Linked DNA regions of Macaca mulatta. The protein of the gene in region 5 purifies or fractionates together with the protein of the main gene of each other region. This does not show direct contact. Links are inferred from orthologs where the notes say so. Each region holds a gene or a part of one and is shown on either strand. Other genes may lie near its edges. The genes, in order: BPTF, RBBP7, SMARCA5, HMGXB4, C16H17orf49 and SMARCA1.

What was found.
Region 1: the proteins of C16H17orf49 (region 5) and BPTF purify together in Homo sapiens (affinity purification with mass spectrometry; 5 studies listed by BioGRID and IntAct, with this or other methods). This does not show direct contact. The link is inferred for Macaca mulatta from reciprocal best matches to the Homo sapiens genes BACC1 and BPTF.
Region 2: the proteins of C16H17orf49 (region 5) and RBBP7 purify together in Homo sapiens (affinity purification with mass spectrometry; 3 studies listed by BioGRID). This does not show direct contact. The link is inferred for Macaca mulatta from reciprocal best matches to the Homo sapiens genes BACC1 and RBBP7.
Region 3: the proteins of C16H17orf49 (region 5) and SMARCA5 purify together in Homo sapiens (affinity purification with mass spectrometry; 5 studies listed by BioGRID and IntAct, with this or other methods). This does not show direct contact. The link is inferred for Macaca mulatta from reciprocal best matches to the Homo sapiens genes BACC1 and SMARCA5.
Region 4: the proteins of C16H17orf49 (region 5) and HMGXB4 purify together in Homo sapiens (affinity purification with mass spectrometry; 4 studies listed by BioGRID and IntAct, with this or other methods). This does not show direct contact. The link is inferred for Macaca mulatta from reciprocal best matches to the Homo sapiens genes BACC1 and HMGXB4.
Region 6: the proteins of C16H17orf49 (region 5) and SMARCA1 purify together in Homo sapiens (affinity purification with mass spectrometry; 4 studies listed by BioGRID and IntAct, with this or other methods). This does not show direct contact. The link is inferred for Macaca mulatta from reciprocal best matches to the Homo sapiens genes BACC1 and SMARCA1.

What each region holds. Positions count from the first base shown.
Region 1 is NC_133421.1:77,673,487-77,676,986, reverse strand, and holds part of BPTF (nucleosome-remodeling factor subunit BPTF), read right to left. Parts: coding exon 3,356-3,500; intron 2,016-3,355; coding exon 1-2,015. UniProt on the Homo sapiens protein: Regulatory subunit of the ATP-dependent NURF-1 and NURF-5 ISWI chromatin remodeling complexes, which form ordered nucleosome arrays on chromatin and facilitate access to DNA during DNA-templated processes such as DNA replication, transcription, and repair.
Region 2 is NC_133426.1:16,527,653-16,531,152, forward strand, and holds part of RBBP7 (histone-binding protein RBBP7), read right to left. Parts: intron 1,301-3,500; coding exon 1,127-1,300; intron 118-1,126; coding exon 2-117; intron 1-1. UniProt on the Homo sapiens protein: Core histone-binding subunit that may target chromatin remodeling factors, histone acetyltransferases and histone deacetylases to their histone substrates in a manner that is regulated by nucleosomal DNA.
Region 3 is NC_133410.1:152,330,259-152,334,504, reverse strand, and holds the start of SMARCA5 (SWI/SNF-related matrix-associated actin-dependent regulator of chromatin subfamily A member 5), read right to left. Parts: upstream 2,801-4,246; 5' UTR 2,333-2,800; coding exon 2,156-2,332; intron 1-2,155. UniProt on the Homo sapiens protein: ATPase that possesses intrinsic ATP-dependent nucleosome-remodeling activity.
Region 4 is NC_133415.1:16,281,771-16,285,270, forward strand, and holds part of HMGXB4 (HMG domain-containing protein 4), read right to left. Parts: intron 1,374-3,500; 5' UTR 1,306-1,373; coding exon 1,275-1,305; intron 612-1,274; coding exon 463-611; intron 1-462. UniProt on the Homo sapiens protein: Negatively regulates Wnt/beta-catenin signaling during development.
Region 5 is NC_133421.1:8,489,038-8,493,243, reverse strand, and holds C16H17orf49 (BPTF-associated chromatin complex component 1), read right to left. Parts: upstream 2,801-4,206; 5' UTR 2,680-2,800; coding exon 2,659-2,679; intron 2,469-2,658; coding exon 2,374-2,468; intron 1,752-2,373; coding exon 1,650-1,751; exon of another isoform or gene 1,511-1,649; intron 1,029-1,510; coding exon 838-1,028; intron 620-837; coding exon 515-619; intron 461-514; exon of another isoform or gene 273-460; coding exon 208-272; 3' UTR 5-207; downstream 1-4. Other genes in the region: RNASEK (ribonuclease kappa), read right to left, coding at 3,252-3,393, 3,791-3,867. UniProt on the Homo sapiens protein: Component of chromatin complexes such as the MLL1/MLL and NURF complexes.
Region 6 is NC_133426.1:135,929,608-135,933,107, reverse strand, and holds part of SMARCA1 (SWI/SNF-related matrix-associated actin-dependent regulator of chromatin subfamily A member 1), read left to right. Parts: intron 1-392; coding exon 393-515; intron 516-2,832; coding exon 2,833-2,965; intron 2,966-3,500.

The DNA.
Region 1 (3,500 bases), about 69 Mb from region 5:
TCCTGTGGTGGTCAAGGAGTCTGTCACTGTCGTGGTGACCACAGTTTTGCTCTGCTCCTTTACAGAGATGATGTCCACACTGCTGCCCGTGGAAGGTGTGGAAAGCTTGGTCACCGTTGTAGTGGTGGTTGTGACAGTGGATTTCGCACAATTTTCTGTGGAAGAAACCACAGTTTGCTTATCGCCTTTTTCTACCTTGATCACAGTTTTTGATTCTGTGGCCACAGTGGAAGTCATCGTAGTGACTTCTGTGATGACGGTTTTTCTTTTAGATTCTCCATTGACATTTTCATTTTTGTTGACAGGCAGACCATTTTCATCAATAAAGTCATTACTGAGATTAGATTCCTCTCCAGAAGTAACAGGTGATGAACTACCTTTCTTAACTTCTGAGGTTTCTATTTCCATATCTTCTACCTGATTAACTGAATTGCTTTCTGGACAAGATGGTGAAGGTGTGGTCGTCTGTGTACCGTCAGACTCTTTGGTTGATGGCAGGGTCTCAAGGCTATCTCGGTAGTTACCTTCAGCATCTGAAGAACTCAGTAAATGTGATTTTGTTTCGGAGCTGTTTCTTTCATTAAAATCTTCCATGATGACATCACCATTAATGAACGGCCTTACAGCAGATTCTTTAACAGTCAATGATTTAATATCATTCTCAGGGATTATTTTATTTATATTATTAACCTTTGGTTCAACATTACCACTTACTACTTTACTCTCAGAAATTTCTTTCAAGCATTCACCTTTCAAATATATCTTAGGTTTATTATCTTTTCCATTTATTTGAAATGTACTTGTTCTCTGTCCTTTCTTTTCAGACTCTCGATTTTCATTATTCTTTTTGTCAGTAGTATTTTTTAGCTTTATTTGATCACTACATTTATTAACTGATCTCTCCTCTAATTTCTTCTGCTGACTTGTTTTTTTACCATTTGCTTCAGTTACCTTACCCAGCAGTCTGTCCTCACAGTTTCCAGTGGACTTCTCAGAAACCAATTCACATTTTAATGGCTCCAAGCCTTCAATACCTTGTTCTTGAGTTCTGAACTGTTCAGAAATACTTTCATTGCTATTCTGAACAATCATATCTTCTTCACTGCTATCGTGAATAGACACAGTATCAGAACTATTTTCCAAAGTGCTATTAGATTCAGAGTCACATCCCAGTTTTCCTTCAAAGTCCATTGCTTTTGACAGAGGTGTGGCATCTCTGTCATTGGTACTTTTAGGCACTGATGAATGTAAAGCACTCTTGGAAGAAGAAACGATGGTGTCGTTTTCCTCCTGTATGAGCAGTTTTTCGTTCCTATAGATCAAAGAACCAATATCACCTGCATTGGCTAGTTTAGAGTCATCAATGAAAATACCATTTCCTTTTGTTCTACTCTTACTGGGTTCCTGGCCTTTCCTGGCAGGGTCAGAGGCATTTTCTTCTATGTCATTTTCAACGGAATTTTCTTTCTGACAGTTTGTTTCTGGGCTCCGAAAGGAGACATCATCTAACACTTGATCTTTTGGATAAAGTTTGTTGGTGGTACGACTAGGATCCCTCATTCCAAGAACTGAGGAATCACTTTCTGAACATCCCGGAATCAAGTCCTCAGGTCGATCATTATTTGCATTCGGGCTCTGTTCTTGTCGCATCGAGTCACTCTGATACCCTTCTTTTGCTTTTGTTATTACTGGTGATTCAGAGAGATTTTTTGAAGAATTTGTAGAAGTCTTTCCTATACCCTTAATTCCACCCTCCAACTTGATTTTTTCGAGGCGCTGTTTTTCTTCCAGTGTAAACTGTTTAATTCTCCTTTCAAGAAGTCCATCTAGTTTGGATGATTTTGTTTTCTTTTTGTAACTAGTCCTTAGATGAAAACCCTCACTAACATTGACCACATCTACTTGAGAACTCTCCTGACAATTTACATGTGACTCTGTTTTCATGTCATCGTCTATTTCCATTGGTTCTTCCTTGCAGGGTTTATCACTGTCAGAATCTAAAAGCTCCTTCACATCTGTGAAACAAAGACATTTATAGAAATGTAACTTTTACTCTGAAAGGAGGAATTTATACTTTTTTTTTTTTTTTTGAGATGGAGTCTCACTCTGTTGCCCAGGCTGGAGTGCAGCGGCGTGATCACAGTTCACTGCAACCTCCGCCTCCTGGGTTCAAGCAATTCTCATGCCTCAGCTTCCCGAGTAGCCGGGATTACAGGCATGTGACACCATGCCTGGCTAGTTTTTGAATTTTCAGTAGAGACATGGTTTCACGATGTTGGCCAGGCTGGTCTTGAACTCCTGACCTCAGGTGATCCGCCCAACTCAGCCTCCCAAAGTGCTGAGATTACAGGCATGAGCCACTGTGCCTAGCCAAAAATATTAAAGTATCTATTTTTCTCATTTTCTCTCTAGAGTTTAAACATATATTTCAAAGTTCCTGGTCAATAGATAGTGTTGAACTTTATGAGACATACATCCCCAAAATAATTAAATATTCTGATCCTTAGTATCTAAAAACGATGGAATGCCATAATGAAAAAGTACTTAGTATGTGGCAGGCTACTGCACACGCTAGTACCTTCATGTAATATTTTGTATAGACTTTTACAGTTATAACGTATCTCTAGCCACATGCATTATTTAGCTTATTTAGTTTTTTAAAAAATGACTTGTTACAAAAGACAATGTAGTTCCTCAAAAGGTTAAACAGAGTTACCATATGATCCAGTAATTCCATTTCTAGGTATATCTCCAAGAGAAGTGAAAACGCTTGGCCACAAAAAACTTCTGCATGAATGTTCATAGCAGCATTATTCATAATAGCCAAAAGAGGAAACGGCCCAATGTCCATCAACTGATGAATGGATAACAAAATGTGGCATATCCATACAGAGTATTATTCAGAAATAGAAAGAAAATACTGATACATGCTACAACATGGATGAACCTTAAAAACATGCTAAGTGGATGAAGCCAGCCACAAAGGACCACATATTGCCTGATTCCATTTCTATGGACTGTCCAAAATAGGCAAATCCAGAGAGACAGAAAGAAGACCGCTAAGCTGGTGGCACTTTGGGGAAGGATTGGTAAGTAACTGCTAATGGGTATGAATGAGGCTTCTTTTCAAGGTTATGAAAATGTTCTAAGATTGACGTGATAATGGTTGAACTTTGTGACTATACTAAAAACCACTGAATTTACACTTTAATTGGGTGAATTGTATGGGATATGAATTACATTTTAATAAAGCTATTATCAAGAAAACACAACGCAGTACCTTTCCTGTGGTGGGACCCCGATCCACTGCATTCTTATCACCCCCAGGCTGCCCTCCACAGCTGACTCTCCTTACCTTGGTCCTTCTTCTCAGTAATCTTTGAGATATCCATTTCACTTTGGTCTGCTCCTTTTGCAGCATCTGAATCTTTTACCTCATCTTTTTCAGAATCAGGCTCTGTTTTTATTTTTTTGGGACTTCGTGAACATTTTCTTTTATC
Region 2 (3,500 bases), on a different chromosome or scaffold from region 5:
CATGGTCATCAGATGCACTTAGGAGATGTCCACTCAAATTCGAATTCCAGGAGAGACCATAGCCTTCCTTCTGGTGACCTCTTAACCTGAGATCAGGATTACATTCTCCACTTGGGTCTAAGAAAAGATGAAAAAACATTAAGTTGTTCTCTGTTTATCAGAACTGGTGAGAATAAATTCTCACTCCTTCATTGAGTGAGCCATTACAGCAATTGCACATGAACAAGATCTGGTCTGACCCATAACCACTTTAAAAAGCTGTTCTCTTTGCTTCGTTCTTAATACCCAATGCAAATTGAGCCTCATGACCATTAAACGATTGGTTTCTTTGGAAAACCTAATATTATCCCCAACACAAAAATACTAAAAACTATAGCTATCCTACAAATTTGGGCAGTGGTAACCCTATCCCCCCAACTCCCCAATTTTTTAGAAATATTTCTAACACAGCAGGTCTGGTTGCTCAGTCCTTGCATGCCTCTAGGGTAGCCTGCAACCATAAATGACCCTTAGCCAACCCCTGGGAATGTGACCCTCAGAAAGTTCTTCACGTCACTGACTGGTAAAGTTGTGTAAGCCCAGAGCAGTGGGGTATGCCATAGGAACCTGTCAAGACTTGTAGGATTGTTTAGCAAGATTCACAATGTATTTGGCTTCACTATTGGGGTTCTCAATTTTGTTACCATGGCTGGTCATAGAACAGGATGTGCCCATGCCAACAGACCTCCACAAAAATCCCAGATTCTGAAACTCAAATGGGCTGCCCTGGGTAGAGACATTTGGCACATGTTCCTATGGTTTGCTGCTAGAGACAAAGTATGTCCCACGTGACCCTGGATGGGAAGGACTCAGACACCTGTAGCTAACCTCTCTGGACTTCCCCTGATGTATATCTTTTTCTTCCTACTTTTGCTCTGGATCCTTTGCTGTAATAAACTTTAGCTGTTAGTATAAGCTGCTTTTAGGCAGTTCTGGCAAATCCCTGAACTTGAGGATGGTTATGGGACCCCCCAAAGTAATTTTTAAACCTTTAAATATTACAAAGTATGCTACTTTGACTTAAAAACATTACCAGTTTGAATCAAGAAAACTGCTCAAGTAATGACCTGACTTTATTATTACGTACCTGGTTTAGCAGGGTGTTTTGTATAGTCAAAAACCAACACATCAGAAGATGGTGTTTTTGTAGCAATGATGTGAGGATTCTGCGGCATGTAACGAGCACGGTTTACTTCTCCTTCATGATTGATTTTAATTTCACATTCAATTTTTCCTGTTACAGAACCAAAGCCACCAAATTCTAATGTGAGGAGAAAGAAACACACACACACTCAGGATTAAAATTCACAAATTACTTAGTTCAATCAACCCAACAGATTTTGACCTGGCAGAATACAACACAAATTGACAAGCCAAAGACAGAGACATGCATAGAGAAAATCCAAAAATGTGGGTTCATTTGCCACATCAATTTATTCTTTTTTTTTTTTTTTTTTTTTTTGAGACGGAGTCTCGCTGTGTCTCCCAGGCTGGAGTGCAGTGGCGTGATCTCGGCTCACTGCAAGCTCCGCCTCCCGGGTTCATGCCATTCTCCCGCCTCAGCCTCCCAAGTAGCTGAGACTACAGGCGCCCGCCACCACGCCCGGCTAGTTTTTTGTATTTTTAGTAGAGACGGGGTTTCACCATGTTAGCCAGGATAGTCTCGATCTCCTGACCTCGTGATCCACCCGCCTCGGCCTCCCAAAGTGCTGGGATTACAGGCTTGAGCCACCGCGCCCGGCCCAATTTATTCTTAAAGCCCATTTGCACTGGAAAACATTGGTAGCTGCCTTATGCAACTTAATTCAGTTCCACCTTGGATCTAAAACAACTGTCCTCTTTCAGTTATGAAGATGATACAGTTATTCACTGAAATTTCAAATAACCATATAATAAGCAGACCAACAGCTTTTTAGTTCAAATACAACTCACTGGAAGTGCTGCACTGATTTAGCATCTTATTTTAGGATTCATCAAAACAGGAAAAGTTTTAACCCTCAGGAGTATGAACACCCTTTGAGTCTAAAGTCAGAAGCATCCTCAAATCAGTGTGAAACCCATGCTAACCCCTACCTGTCCCTTAACACACATACGTTGGCCCTGCTAGCATCCTTGGTTTAACTGCTAGTGCAATGCCAAGGTTAACCTCTCCGCCCATCTGGTGTGTGAATAAGACGGTGTGTGAATAAGACTGTAGTATTAAATAATCATGAAAAAGGCCTTGTAAAGTAACAAAGCCATATAAAAAGCACAGTAACTTCCAAGAAGTAGCAACATATTAGCAGAAAGAATACAAATAGAGAATATCTAAGCAAATACAGCAAACAAGAACATTCTTTTTTGTGCTCATAGATAAAAAACTTGAATTAGTTGCTGAGGCTTAAAAAGATAGGAGAGTTCACACTACAATTGTGTTATTCTTCCTGACCTATATTGCCTTTTCTTTGCACATTCCATTTTAGCTCACCCTATGTCTCAGGTCAGGGACAACTAGCACAAATGCCTACTGGAGCCAGGCTGATAAGTAGTAAAACAGACCGGGGCCTGGAGCAACCACCAAAAGGAGAAAACCATTTCTCAGTTCCAGGCAGCTCCTTCTATGTGGAATGCTTAATGAACATTGGCTTCCATGTCTTAATATTAGTATCTAGCTGTTCTCTCTGAAGCAAACATAGCTTACTATTGCAGTGCGGCTGAAAAAACCGTATCTCAAATCCACGATTACTTCAAAGCTCCTTTACCCACTACTCTCACGTGACAACATGCAAAAGGACCCTTTTTCCTCATAGCACCTTCTGTTCCATGGTGTCAATGGAAGAAGTGTGCCTCAGCATGCTAAGACCCCTCCTGATCCAATAGTCTCCTGCCTCCTGAGACTGCTCCAAACCTGCTTCACTTTGACCTTCAACATCCCATTGCATGGACTCCAGTGGCTCTAACCCTTCTGCTACAAAGATACTCAAATTTCCTGATTCCTTTAGCTAAAACAACCTGAAGAGCTCTCCAAAAAAAAGGGGGGGGAGGGGCGCTTCCAAGTAGGATTTACTTTGAACACAAGAGTTTTGTTTTCTCAAACTTAAAATTTTGAAGTCACTGTCTTAATGATCACATCCATTAAAAAATATAACTGAATATTGGCCAGGCGCAGTGGCTCACACCTGTAATCCCAGCACTTTGGGAGGCTGAGGCGGGCGGATCACAAGGTCAGGAGATCAAGACCATCCTGGCTAACAGTGTGAAACCTTGTCCCTAACTAAAAATACAAAAAATTAGCTGGCTGTGGTGGCGGGCGCCTGTAGTCCCAGCTACTCGGGAAATCACTTGAACCCAGGAAGCAGAGGTTGCAGTGAGCCGAGATCGCACCACTGCACTCCAGCCTGGGTGAAAGAGTAAGACTTTGTCTCAAAAAAAAAAAAAAAAAAAATACACACACACACACACATATAAACGTAAACTGAATA
Region 3 (4,246 bases), on a different chromosome or scaffold from region 5:
CAGCTTTGCCACACACACACACACACACACACACACACACACACGCACACAAAATTCATGAATGCTGAGTTTATTCTGTGATTTTAGAAAAACACCTTAGATCATACTTCCAAACAAGAAAAAGTCATTTATAAAATATTCATTTTCCAAGTGCAAAACAGATTAAGTTGTGACATATATTAGGCATGTGTGCTCAAACTTAGTTTTGATCATGAATTGCAGTGATTCTGAACAGGAAACTGACGGTGCATTTTAAGACAAAAAAAATCACACTGTCAACAACAACAACAACAACAACAAAATGAGTCAGTGATAAGATGGATAAAAAATAAAATTCCTAATATTTCTATACTAGGAAGGTAAAAATAACTATGTTATTCAATAAATTGAACTGCCAAATACGTTTTTTTGGTAAGAACACGGCAGAGTAAGATGGGTGGGAAAAGACTCACTTTTAAAGGCAGACCTGAGTTTTATCACAGGTTCTACCTAGCAGAACTCAAATTCCCCATCTGGCAAATGAAAATATCACTAATTTAATACGGTAGTGACATCATCTATACTCATATTTAAACTTAAAATCAATTTTCATTTAAAATAACAACTTCAAGTCAAAAAAGTTGACTTGCTTTTGGCTTAAAATTACTGTGTTCAGATATTAACAAGACCTCTGGTGAAAATTTATTTTTCCAAAGTTTGGATGGCAGACCCCCCTTTGAGAGGCTGAGGATAACTATGAACAGATTTTTGTCCAGAACTGCACATTTACACACAATTGCTTTGTGTCAAACCCCTTAAGCCTTGGAACCGGAATTCAAGTTAAAGAGCCCTGGTAACCCAAAAGAACCATTTCCTTAAGGGGAAAACAGGCAACACTGAATATATTTTAATTTGAAAGAAATCTTATCCTAATCACTCAAAACTACAGGAACCATCAGGAGTTCCTATGTCACTAAACCTACCCTCACACTAAAAGTGCTTTAAAAGATTACTAACATTAATGTTACCTAACCCCAGCTACCCAAATAAAACTACTGTGCCAAATGCCTCAATGGTAAACTACGCTCCCATTTCCCCACTGTACAACGATTGTGCGTCAAGACTCATCTTCGGAGCAGTATTACCTTCATTCTAAGGATAGGAAAATCCCAGAAATCTTTGGGCTCCGACTTACAAAATATTTCAAAACAGGTCGAAGGCCAAGAATAACAATTGGAAGGAGCAATTACTTTTTCCCCAGATATTGCAAAGCCTGGAGGCATATCCAATTTACCCGCCTGGCAGCTTCCCCATCTTTCCAGCCCCCTCAGTACCGTCAGCATCCTCTGGACAACCCAAACCCAGAAGTCTCGGGAGCCGAGTGGTACTAATTTTTTTTTTTTTTTTTTAAGGCGAGAGGCCAAAAAGAGAAAAAGTGCCGGACTGAGAGCCAATCAACTGCGCCTGGTTCTCTAATTCATTCCTACACTTACTCATCCCCCCTAAATTCGATGGGGGATCCGAGACAGCTGCTGCTGCCTTGGTTGCTTCCCTTCCAGTGGAACAGTGCCTGGGAGGGGCTTCCTCTCCCTTCACAGAAGCAGCTGCGCCCCGCTTATCCCCACTGCGCACTCGGCCATCCAGCTCTCGCCATTGTTTCTGCCCAGAACAGATACCGCCCCCGCAAGGACCGGGAAGAAGAAAAAGAGGCCCAAGTCCTCGGACGCGCTGCTTTTAAATGCCTCCTTCACCCTGCCCGTGCATCCCGCTCCTAAGGGGTCATCTCCTCGCCCTTCCCCGAAGTTTGGTGGAAACTAAAAACCACATTCAGAGGTAGGAGAGGGAATTATGGGAGTCTAGTGCGAAAAAAAGATGGGTCCCCCTGGGCCACGGTAACCAAGAACATCTGTTCATTGAGAGCATTCAAAGATTTGTCAAGATTCACGAAAGAGACAAATAATTTCAACGTGAGGAGCCGGAAATCCATTTTGCTTGGCTCCAATAGGTTAAGAACAAGGGAGCAAGGGTGAGAGCATCATTTCGTATCCACAGGGTGTGAAGCTGAGTCTGGTGCAGAGAGAGAAGCCCGGCTCTGCGTCCGATCGCCACGATCCGGCGAGGGAGCCAGCTCCTCCTCCCCGCTGCGCCCGCTCCCCACGCCGCAAGCTGCCCTCACCTCCATCTCGGCGTCTGCGGGACCCGCGCTGGCCGCAGACGCAACCGCCTGCGCAGCGACGCCCTCGGGGCCGCCTTTGTTGCTGCTGTTGCTCCCGCCGCTGGCGGTCGAGGCTGCGGGCTTGGAAGGCGCGCTCTCGGGAGGCGGGGGTGGCGGAGGCTCGGCCGCGGACGACATGATGTTCCGTCTGCGTCACCCGCTGCTGCCAGAGGCCGAGTCCGGCGGGGATGGACGGGGAGGCCTAGGCCCGGGTGGCTACGTCGCAATAAACTGGTGGAGGAGCGAGACTCCCACCCGAGCGCTCCCCCGCGCCGCGCCTCCGCGACGGGCCTGAGCCGGGCCCAGGAGCTGCACACTCCCAGACGTTCTGCTCTTCCGCGGGGCTCTAGGTTCCACCGGCGCTTACCTCACGGCGGGAATCACGTCGACGAGGATGGGCGGGGCCAGACGGGTCACTGAGGTCAAGGAAGGCGGGCTGATTTAGAGAAGGGCGGAGGGTTGGGGGAAGGGAAAAGGAAAACGAAACAGAGACTGAGGCTGGGAAAACGCTTCGCCGCCTCCTCCTCCTCTTCCTCTGGCAGATATCGTCTATCTCGCCAGCATCCAGGACGACTACCTACGCCACCGACTTTCAACCCTCGCGAGATTCCTTATTGGTTCACTGACTGGGTACTGAGTGCGCATGCTCATACTGTCCTCCTTACCCTTGGCCCCTCCTCCTCACCCTTGGCCCCTCCTCCTCCAGACCTCTAGCGGGCTCGGGAGAGAAGAGTAGGCGGGACCTCGAGGGAGCGCTCGGAGGCGTAGGTTTGTGCGTCTGCTGTCTGGCAGGACGCGAGCTCAGTGTTTTAGGCTTTCGTAACGGCTCACGGTTCTCGTTGTGTCTTCCGGGCCTGGCTGGGATCGGCGGCACTACTGGAAAACTTACCTGAGTTTTGCGCTGCCCATTCAAACTTGGAAGTCTTGTGTCTGACCCCAAAACTTCTGCCGTATCCGCTTAGAGGCGTGACGCCACAGCCTTGACGACGTTATGGTTACCCCAAGTGACGTCTCACTGTTTTGTTAAAAAAAAAAAAAAAAAAAAAAAAGTCCGTTAGTTTTTTCTTTTTTGGTTTTTGTTTTGTTTTTTTTGCCTTCTCATGTTAGCTGCGTCAGTTATTTCTAAATATCCTCTTTAAGCACAGAGTTAAATGCTATTTCTTCTGAATTTATATGCTAAAGGTAAGCAAATAACATGCACACTACCATGTAAGTGAGAAACACAAATAGTATGTGGGGAAGATAGGTGGTATGATGTAATCTTTTCCTCAAGCATCAAACATTAAAATTAAAACGCACTTTCTCAAGTGTTCAGCACTAATTTTGTATACTGCCTTAGGCAGCCTTCAATGTAGTTTAAGGGCCTTGTGCATTCATCTCCTGCAAAATTTAAATACATTGTAGTCTATTTGATAACAAATCTGCATACTACAGTAGATTATCTGCCCAGCACAGGGTCTTATTTATCTTTTTTTATTCGTCATATCCAGTATTCTATAAATGTTTGTTGAATAAAGGAGGCACATTTTTCAAGAGTTGAGGTTTGAGCTAACTGGTTATGTTGAATTCCAAACAAAAGGGATCTCCTTTGAATATATAGCCTGCAAATTTTTTAACTAATGGAATAATTTTTTAATTGACATCTGGAAAAATGTCCCCACTCCACTAGAAATGCTAGTTCTTAGACTGTAAGGAAATGTCTAAGGATATGTGCAAAGATAAATACCTACAATGATGTTCATCATACTCTTCATATGTAACTGCAAAAAGCTAACAGCAGTAGGCTGAATCCAGTATTAAAAGTTACGTCTTTAAAACTATCGTACACCCAGAAAATGAACTATTAACCTTTAACAACCGTTAATGTAGAATAATGGTTGTTTTGTTTTGTTTTGTTTTGTTTTGAGGCAGAATTTCTCTGTCGCCCAGGCTGGAGTGCAGTGGTGTGATCTCGGCTCACTGCAATCTCCAACTCCCGGGTTCAAAGGATTCCCATGACTTAGCCTCCGTAGTAGCTGGAATTACAGGTGTGCACCACCATGCCCGGCTAAT
Region 4 (3,500 bases), on a different chromosome or scaffold from region 5:
AAGAAATAATAAAAACAGATGCGCACAACATTTTATTTTTCTTTTCTAAAGTTATTAAAAAACACTTCCTTCTTCAAATATTAGGAAATATGGTAAGAAGTAGTTTAAGACTTTCCTGGTGCAGTGGCTCAGGCCTGTAATCCTAGCACTTTGGGAGGCTGAGGCAGGTGGATCATTTGAGGTCAGGAGTTTGAGACCTGCCTGGCCAACATGGTGAAACCCTGTCTCTAACAAAATACAAAAATTGGCCGGGCTTGGTGGCAGGAACCTGTTAATCCCAGCGACTCGGGAGGCTGAGGCAAGAGAATCGCTTGAACCCGGAAGGTGGAGGTTGCAGTGAGCAGAGATCACGCCACTGCACTCCAGCCTGGGCCACAAGAGCAAAAAAAACCTCTGCATCAGAAGAAGAAAAAAAAAAAAAAGTAGTTTAAGACTTTCCTAATTTAAATTTTTAGGACTTACCTTCAACTTCTTCTTGGAAGAATTCCTGACCTGAGCAGCAATTTCTTCCTCTTCCCTTAAAAAATCTTTGTAAGAACGTTTTTTCTCTCGTTGGCTTCGGCCAGCTGCAAGTCCTATGTCCTCAAAGGTATGATCACCATCAAAACAATCTGAGAAGCACAGGTTTATTTGGGAAAGGAAATGAGAATGTCAAGTAAGTAACGACCAAATCACCATGCAGGTAATGCAACAGTTCCTCTATTTCCAAATTAAAACAATGTTTCAATCAAGTCCACTGAAATACAGGGCTAGACCCAGGGGAACAGAATATTTCTTGATGACCTGGCTGCAAATACAAGAATCAAACCTGAAGAAACAATGTTTCCACGCTATGCAAAGGCCCCATGTGCGACCTCAGATATGATTTCTTAGTTGTGATTTGGTAGGTGGACACAGACTTGCAGACGAAAGGCTGAAAAGAATAAGGATTCATGATTCATGTGCTGTGCTGCTCTCTGTGGGAGTCCAGGATGTGATTCCTATCCCCAGACTCCTGCACACTGGAGCTGGCAAGGACCAAGAGTGCTGCAGGGGATCACCCCAATAAACTAAGAGACTCATATTTCAGACTCTCGTGTTGGAACCCCTGTCCTGGTTTTCGTTTCCATGGGCCCAGTCTGGGGATGGCGTGGAGGCTGAGTGTCATAACAGTGCTCTAGACCATCACTTGGGAGTCCAGGCTGTGGTGCCCAGTCCTGGTCTCTATATCCATGGGCTGCAAGGATTGAAGAGGATACCCCCTTTGGAATGCTTCTCAGATTATGGGGTCATACCTTCTTTCTTCACGGAGTCATCATAAGCCATGGTGGTCCTGCAGGGCCTTTGAGAATGTGTCACTGTGTCCAGGCTCCTTCCCGTCTACAGGACCAGGTCTGAGAAACAAAGAAGGAAAACCCTCCTGTAATGCGAAATCAGAGGAGAAGCAACCTTCCAGATGGAAATGTGTAGTGATCCAAGGGCCGACTGGAAGGGCAGCAAGAAATAAAGGAGTGTCTTGTCACCTCCTCATTCTCTTTGTAAATATAGTGGGGTTGATACTGCAGGAAGTACACTAGGCTTAATTAGATTTCAGTCATGAATTAAAGTTGTCATTTGGGGAAGTATATAAAATACCTCCAATACAAAAAATATTTTCAAAATTAATGAGAATTTCTGAAATGCCAACAGGACTGACAACACTGAGACAGGGTAGAAACCAACATTAAGTTAGAGGGATAGGTTCAATCTTGGTTATAAAATACACAGGTAAAGCAAGACGCAGAGAAGACAGATCACACCAAACATTTGAAGACCATAAAATCCTACCAACTGGATTGGTGAACTGGTAACATCTATTGCATTGTAATTTAAACAGAAATGATTAACTGTATAGGAATATTAAATATCTTTAGAGCATAATTTCTTTTGCATTTTGGGGGGGGGTTACATGAATTTGTTCAAATTTATGTAATTGTAAAAGCAGGTACACTCCTTACATCAGTTGACCATGTGACAGCTGTCACCACCACCAAGGCTTTCTTAAAGGCTAGGTGAAAATAGGGAGATATTTATCATTTGTCCACTGGTCATAAAACTTTTATGATTAATAAGATCTTCACTAATAAGAATTGCTATAATTTAAATGTTCTAGATATTGTATTGAGTTTTATTGAATTTTTACAATCTTTTTTTGGCATTTGAGTTTATATGTCCATTTTGACTTTGATGATAACAATGCTATAAAATGCACTGTAAGTTTTTTTTTTTTTCTTTTTCTTTTTTTTTTGAGACAGTCTTGCTCTGTTGCCCAGGCTGGAGTGCAGTGGCAGTTTCGGCACACTGCAACTTCTGCCTCCCAGGTTCAAGTGATTCTCCTGCCTCAGCCTCCCCAGTAGCTGGGATTACAAGCACCTGCCACCACGCCCAGCTAATTTATGTATTTTTAGTAGAGATGGGGTTTCACCATCTTGGCCAGGCTGGTCTTGAACTCTTGACCTCATGATCCACCCGCCTCAGCCTCCCAAAGTGCTGGGATTACAGGTGTGAGCCATCGCGCCCAGCCAAGGTAAAGTTCTTTAAAAGTTTTAAGAACAAGTAATGTCACAAGTCCTTCAGGAAATTTAAAATTACATATTAAATATTTTGGCAATGTTCTCATCCAATTAAGTCAGATGCTTACAAAGTTAATCTAATTGATAATTTATTTAAATTTAATTTGACCTTCATTATTATAAGGGGATTTAGAAATACTGAAGGACACTTAAATGACACATTACTAATTCCTTCAGGCAACTGTGGACAATACTGAAGCATGGAACTTTTGTGAAAGAAAAGATGAATTTGATTAACAAGGGAAGCTTTCGTAAGTTACATTAAAAAGACTTATTTGCACAAATCAGATAAAATACAATGTACAGGTAGGCCTGAATAGGAAAATGAAGCATTACGAAGAATGATTTATAAGAAAAGAAACATAAAGCATTTCTTCACTTCTCTGAGAAGTGAAATAAAGAATGGATTTGGTCAAAGTAACAGAAACTAGAGTAATGAAACTACATTAACTGGATTGTTTTAAAGATAAACTGGAGAACTGCCTGTTCGAAGGGCCTTTTCACAGGAAACGAAGGGGACATAAGGTCAGGCCTCAGATAAAAATGTGAGGAGGCAAGATACATAATGTAGCCAGTTTTTCATGTTCCAGCATTTAAGGATGAAAGTTTCTCAGTGGAAACTACTGTCCTCCCCTTTCCACCCAAGTGGTGCTGACTCCAAAAGGGGCGCAGGTAGGACAAGGGAAATATAGGGAATTATATCCATTTATTTGAAAACAGCATACCCTCTCAAAGGCACTAAAATACTGAGTGTATAAGAAAAATATACAGATTATATTGGTTTTCATAGGCTGATAACGCCAAGAACCACTGGAGACCTCAAATTAAACACTTTCTGTGCATGAATTTTCATGCATGAATTTTGGCAAAGAATATTTAAGAAATAATGGCAAAAAACTTAAATATTCC
Region 5 (4,206 bases):
CACGAAGCTGAGAGGGAAATCTTTATTGTTTTCTGTATAAAAATGTCCATCAGATGAAGGTCAAGGGGGTCGGGGGCAGATGCTTATGCGGGCACAGCGAGGTGGCAGCCCCAGCAGCCTTTCAGCCCTCTCTCGTGCAGGCCTTGCTCGGAGTCCCAGGAGATCCACAGGTCCAGCGTGAACAGTGAGAGGTCAGAGGTGGAAGGCTCAGCAGGAGAGGAGAGGAGGATCAGCAGAGGTCATGAGAAGGCCAGAATCCAGGGTCAGGCTGTCTGGAACAGGAAGTAAAATGGGCCGAGATGGAGCGAGCCCCCAGTGTGCTTCCGAGGCCACTCCCAGCTCCCTGAAACACCCTGCTACGTACTGACCCAATGCCCTGCGCTGTGTATGAGAGCACCTTCTCTTCCGAAACCCCTGTACGAGGGAGGGGCCCCTGCGGAGACCGTGCCCTGCCATCCAGGTGAGCCCTTTCTCTCCCACCCTGTCAGCTGTGTGGGAGGAGGAGGACTCCTACCCTGGTCGAAGTTGAGTTTCTTAGCTGGAGGAGTTTCTCCTAGCCCTTCAATATCCACCAGGTCACTGTTGGCGTCGGAGTCGTTCAGAGCACTGAGTGTCACATCTGGGAAGGGGGCATAAGCTAGGTTCTAGGTTCCCCTGACGGCCTCTCCCCCAGCCCCGAGCTTCCCAAAGCTTCGTGCCTCCCCTCCCCTCTGCCCCTCTCTGGGAACCTCCACAGGGACAGGAAGAGAGCTTGACCCTTCTTTGACCCAGGCCCAATTCTCTCACTGAACCTCAGATGGACTTTTAACCCCTAGGTAGCAAGTCCACAGCCCTCACCGGCCTTCTGTTTCTTTATGGGGGGACCCCCGGCCTCGGGGACACTGGAGCTGCTGGGAGGAGGGGCAGCTGGAGGAGGTGATAAGACACCAGATGCCACCTTCTTGGGCCCTTTCTTGGGTGACTCAGCTGGAAGGGGGATGCCAGAATCTTCATATACCTTGCGTTTCACAGTGGCCTTTATCTGAGCCCTGAAGAAAAGAGAGAAGAGGTTAGGAAAGGAGTCATCAGAGAGACTAACAGAAGAAGGGAGGGGAGGTGAAGGGGTTCTGGGAGTCCCTTGAAAAGAATCCAGGTCGGGGCCCCAACCCATTGGGAGGGTTCTCACTTTCCCAAAGTTTTACACTCACTCAGGGTGGGTGGAATGTGGAGAGTGGAGTCCCTGAGATGAGTAGTGGGAAAGGCCCATCTCCTCATTCTCTTCCGGGAGAGACATCGGGTAAGGCTTGGTGATTTACAGGTGGATTGGGATTTACTGATCAACTAGTTCAGGATCACCATATCCCTGGAAACACTGCAGTGGAGTCCCCCAAAATTTATATAAATAACCAGGGGACTTCCATCATCAAATACAATAACTGAGCATCTCAGGCAACCTAAATTCACATTCTTGGAAGGACTACCACAGCATTTTAGGAACTTCTGACCAACTGTGACAATTCTGTTCTTTCAGTTCTCAAGGGCATTCTAAAAAACTAGTGACAAAGTAGGGAAGCAGCTGAGCTGGAAAGGAGTTCTGAGGACGATGGAACCTTGGGTAAGGAGGAAGAAGGCTGCCCACCCGCCCTTTTCTGGCAGCCACCCTCCCTCACACTGTCCGTTCCTTGATGACACAGCTGATGTGATTAAGATCGTCCCCAAATCGCTTCACAGCAGCCCTCAGCATCTCTATTTCCGTCTCCGTCCACTTCGCACTGTCAGAAGGGGAGAGGGGGGATAGCAAAAATGGGAGGGGGGGTGTGGAGCCAGCCCACAGGCTATGCATCCCACAGTCAACCAGCCGCCTCCTTCCGACTTCTGGGACCCCTTCCACGGATGCATAAAGAGGTCCTCCATAGGGGCGGGGGACGGGCGGGAAGCTCTTGAGGGCCCTGCGGGAACCTGGAGGACCCCAATCACAAGAAATCACAACCACCTCCACCTTAGACACCCCTTTCCACCATGAACGTTAACCGGCTGCTGTACACAGCACACTGAAACCAACTCGCCAAGAAGGGCTTTTCAAACAGACCCACCAACAGCCTGCAGCCGTCTGGGGGAATTCCATGAACTGGGGTGGTTGGGAGTGGCGGTGGTTTGTGGTCGACCCGTTCGCAGCAGGGAGAACTGTGAAATAGGAGTCTGGGCCATAGGCCTGTCTGTATTTTTATCTGTCATTCATTCCCTCATCCAACGATCATTTATTAACACCTACTCTGTGCTGTGCCAGGCACAAAGGGAAACTAACGTCTGTCCCTGTGCTAGAGAGGGTCCGTGTCTGTGACCGAGTCCAAGCGCCCGCTCTCAGCGTCCACGTCCCAGTCCGGGCTCACGTACCCCGCAGGGGAAGAGTCGGCCACAGGATGCAGCTGCATCGTCAGCTCCCCGAGCTTCGTGAAGGCGGCGCCGGCCGCCGAGAAGATCTCTCCGACCTGGGGGCGGGGCAGCGTCACGGGGGGCCGGCGCCCGCCCTCCCCGTCCCGCCTGGAGCCCCTAGCCCCACCCCAGGCTCGGCTCCCGCCCGCCCCCCGCCCCCCGCCCGGGGCGGAAGAGCCACGAGCCAAGTGGGGGGCCCGCCCTCCCGTGGCCGCCAGGGAGCGCTGTCCGCGGGGGAGGTCGAACCTTTGTGGACGCTGACGTCATGGCCCCGCGCGCCTCCTCACGGAGACGCCGCCGCCGCCGCTACACGCGAGCCGGGACCACGGAGAGCAGGGAGACGGAGCGGCTCAGGCCCCCGCGCAGGAAGTCCCGCCCTTCCCGCAGCGGATAGGCTCAACCCTGTGGCTCCCCGCCCCATCAGATGCAGTCGCTTCGACAGCTTGGCGCGCCCAGGCCAAGGGGGAAGCCTTCGCCTCACTTCCGCACCACTTCACTCCACTTCCGCTCAGGGGTCGGGACTCCCCAGGCAGAGGCCGACCTCCAGCCTCAGCCCCGTGCTCGCCCCCACTGAAGCACAGACACAGGGCATAAGAGAGCAGATTCTCTTTATTGAGATACGGGACACAGCGAAGGGTGGAGAGACGGAACAGCCCCCCAGCCTCAGCCCTCTCCACGGGGGCCGGATGCCAGAGATGGGAGAAGAAGAGATTCAGTCTCTCGCCCGGGAAACTCAGTCCCGCAGAGGGTGCCGGCAAGGGTGGGACGCGACCCGGGTGACGCGGTGCAGGGAGTCTTTAAATAGAGGAGGGGCTGGAGCGGGGAAGGGCGCCCGGGCCCTAGCGCACCATGTATTCCTTGCGCTTATTGAGCCGAACTTGGCAGAAAGAGAAGCCTCCGAGGAGGAGGTAAAGGCCCGCGGCGATGAAACAGTTGTAGCTGACTTGCTCGTAAAGGTTGTATATGTTCTGGGGGCCATTCCTGGGGGTGGGAATGAAGCAAAGGTGTCAAACGTTAATAGCAGCCAACGTTTGCTGAGCAGTATGTGCCCAGCACCTGTCTAGGCGCTGTTACGTGTATTACTTTATTCAATCTTCTTGACAATCCTATGGGGTGAGATCTGTCATAGCAGCCATTTTGCAGAGGTGGACTGAGAGGCTCAGAAAAGTAAAATACGTAAAGAGGCCACACCTAAAGTGGTGGGTTTGGAATGGCCGCTGAGGTCTGACTCCCTAGCTCCTAACCACATTCTCAAGAAAGCAGCTCTCCTCTCCCTGTTCCCTAACCTAGGGGCCCCAAGCACCCGACCTCCCAGACGTAATCTGACCTCGCCACCTCCCACCTGATCCCAGCCCGCCTCCCCCACCCGAATACTTACTCAAAATCTTTCTCTGTGAAGGGAACGTCCTCAATCAACACAGCGGAATGGACATTGAAAAATATTCCGAGCATTATCTGGAAAAGGGGAATGGGTAGGTTGTTGAATTCAGGCACCTGACCTCAAGTTCACTTCGTAAACCCCTCCCATTTCTAATGTTGCTACCACACCCGTGCCTAAGATGAACCAAAACGAGGTGGTGGTTACTGGATTCGGACTCAGCCACCTGGAACAGGGCGTGAGGTGGTGACATTGAGACAAGTGGCCGAGGCAAGGGTAGGAATAGTGACCAAGCCTTCTCTCCCAGGAACCCAGATTATCGTCCTCCCTGGAGGCGTCATCGTCACGGGACAGTGCGCAAGAGGGGAGGGAGAATCGGCACTTCTTCGTATCATTTCTTCTTGAAGTGGCGGTGG
Region 6 (3,500 bases), on a different chromosome or scaffold from region 5:
TAATGTTTAGGTGCATTGCCACTTCTCCATTCTGCTCTGTGTTGCCAGGGTAATATGGGTTCTTTTTTCTTTTTACTGCCAAACTTTTTGTTTGTTCTGTATATTACAATAGTATAAGGATAGACTTTGTTCCAGAGTATAATCATATCTGAAATCTAATGTGGCATTTACTAATGAGTTTTAACTATGGAATATCATGTGGCACAATAATGGTTTTTACTTCAATAGGATCATGGTAGCAGAAATGTGGAGAGGACCATGTGTCATTCTGACTATGATTTTATATTGTTTACTCTTGAAATAACTCTAAAGATTGATAAGGCTGTGTATATACAGCCTTAGTAATTAATTTTTCTCGTCAGTGTACTCTTAGTTTGTCTCTTGATTTATAGGTCCCAAGGAATCCTGATATCCCAAATCCAGCTCTGGCTCAAAGAGAAGAGCAAAAAAAGATTGATGGAGCTGAACCTCTTACACCAGAAGAGACTGAAGAAAAGGAAAAACTTCTCACCCAAGTAAAGTATTTTCAATGGCTGAAATATTTACAGTCAATCGATAGAAAAAAAGAAAATACAGATCACACTTAATTTTTTTTGTATGGGCCTAGTATCCTAGTTTGACACACCAGCAAAACTCAGGGCTATTTTGTAAACATGTTTAGACCAAAATCCCTATTTTTAAAAATTGATCTTATAGAATATGCCCTTTTGGAAATACTGGGTAGTATGTATATGCAAAATATAAGTGTAAAGTATTAGCAATATGACACACATTTTGCCAATTGTAATAAGGTCAGTGAATCCACATTTGAATTCTGATAGACAGTAGTTATTAACATATTCTTTTTTGTTTTTTGAGACAGTCTTGCTCTGTCACCCAGGCCGGAGTGCAGTGGTGCAATCTCAGCTCACTGCATCCTCCACCTCCCGGGTTCAAGCGATTCTCCTGCCCCAGCCTCCTGAGTAACTGGGATTACAGGCACCCGCCACCGTGCCTGGCTAATTTTTGTGTTTTTAGTAGAGATGGGGTTTTGCCATGTTGGCCAGGCTAGTCTCAAACTCCTGACCTCAAGTGATCCGCCCACCTTGGCCTCCCAAAGTGCAGCTGATATTACAGGTGTGAGCCAACGGGCCAAGCCTGTTATTAGCATATTCTTGAAAATTTAAATTTCTTTTGTTTATAGGTGTGAATTGTCTCCAGAAGTTATATTCCATTAATTTTTTATTAATAGAATAATTTCGTAATTTTCAAAATTATTTTTATTTTTTTTTAGAATTTTCATGCAATGATATTTCTGAAACTTTTTAAGGTGATCATTGTATAACAATTATTAAATTAGAAAGGCTTCCATTTGAACAAAATATTAATGCTTTCAAGTTACTATTGCTATAACGAGTTTTACGAGTGTTCTACTTCTAAAATAAACTATGGAAGGTAAAAAGAATTTCAGCACAGAAGGCTTGAGAAAGCCAAAATGTGTACTTGTAAGACATTACTTTAGTATAGAGGGTTGCCAGCAAGATTTATTTATTCAACAAATTTTGAACAATGTGCAATGCATAATAGCAGGTAATTCTCCGCATTAATTATTGAAAGATAGTTTTTATATTTATATGTTATTTATTATATAGGTCTTTGCTGTAACATGTAATTTTATTGTATGTGTATTGGATTTTCACAAATTACATTCATAAGTTTTTGAACCAAATGCCTGGAAGTAATAAAGTTTAGTTTGAAAATATAATTGCAGATGGCTGAATATTAGAACTTACCACAGGATAAAATAAAACATTTAAATATTCATCTTCTGTTTTCAAAATGTATTTCCTGAATGCAAAAGTGAAGTTACGGCTTTAGAATGCTACATGGCTTGGAGTATATTGTGAATGTATGGTATAACATGAATATACAATCTCAACTGAGATAATATTTTAGTTTGTGATTAGAAATATAATCAGTTTTCTGCCCCTCCTAGTAGATGAATTCATTTTTGTCCTTCTCTGCTACCTTAAATAATTAATCTTTTTCAAAAACCATGGCAGTACATAGGAACAAAATGTGGGGTCATCTGAAATCTTTATCGACTAAAAGCCAGGGATAGAGTTTTGCAATGTCTAGAGTATCACGTTTATGTGAGTTGGGGCTCGAGGAGTGGAAAACAAATTTTTGGTCTTGTGACTTCACAGACATGCTAATAATGCCAAGGGAATTTAAAACACTGGCTAAAGTGTTTATGTTTTAGTAAAGAAATTGAGTGGCTCCAATAACATTCTGCTTGTAGAAGTTCTATTTAGGAACATAATTTAGAACAGAAATTATTTATTCCCACTAGTTCAGAATGATGTAAAGAGTTAGAATTTTTTTTTTTTTTGCATTCTCTTTTGGTTATTCTCAGTGTTCTTTTGATTTAGTGTATCCACATTTCTCTCTCTTAATTTACATGGGAACAGATCTGTGAAAAAAATCATTGAAGTACTAGAATATCACGACTTCAGCATTTATATTAGCATTTTTATTTTCATGCATTTGTATTTTAATGTAGTAGGCATCTATAAAATATGAAATTAAAAACTACAGAAAATCTTAGAACTATATATCAACTTTAAGTACTTGGAGAGGATTACATTCTCTTTGTAATAGAAAAGCAGTTATTTCTGTAACAACTCTCACTCAACTTTTGATTCCAACATAAAATATGTGCAATTTTATGAGGAGAAACATTTTAAGTCTTTTAAAGTGTTTTAAAATGTATCATTGTATAGAAGTAAATAGGACAATAAATGGATTTATTAATTTAACCTCTATTGATAATGCTTAACTTTTTGTTCACAGGGTTTCACAAACTGGACTAAACGAGATTTTAACCAGTTTATTAAAGCTAATGAGAAATATGGAAGAGATGACATTGATAACATAGCTCGAGAGGTAGAGGGCAAATCCCCTGAGGAGGTCATGGAGTATTCAGGTTTGTATATAATTTGAAACATGGTGTTGTATTTTAACGTTATTCATTTATGTAGCACCAGTTTAATTGTACCTTTGTTCAGAGATGTTTTAAACTTTTATGAATAAGACATAGATGAGAGTATAAACTGTACTTGTGTTTCTATGAAAAGATTATAAGATTTATCCTAACAAACTGACGGCTGTTGTTTCTATCACCTAGCTAAAAGAGCCAAATAAAGCTCGATAAAACAAGGGTGGCTATTGGATAAGCATTGACAAAATTAGTTTCCCACCTTCCCACCTCTGGAATTTGGTCCTCTTCTGGTTCAGTTCTGAGATTCATATTCAGTGGACTGAATTCATGCCTTTCTTTCTAGGTCGTCCTTAATGTAGAGAGTTCCCGTCAGGCCCATTTAGATGCTCAAACACCCTCAGAGTTCCAACCTTTTCCAGAGAGTTCCTGTGGGTCCCATTAACTTGAGGCTAGTGGGCATAGAGCTGAAAAGGTTGCTTTAATCAATCTGTTAACTGGTCCTCGAATCGTCTCCCTCTCT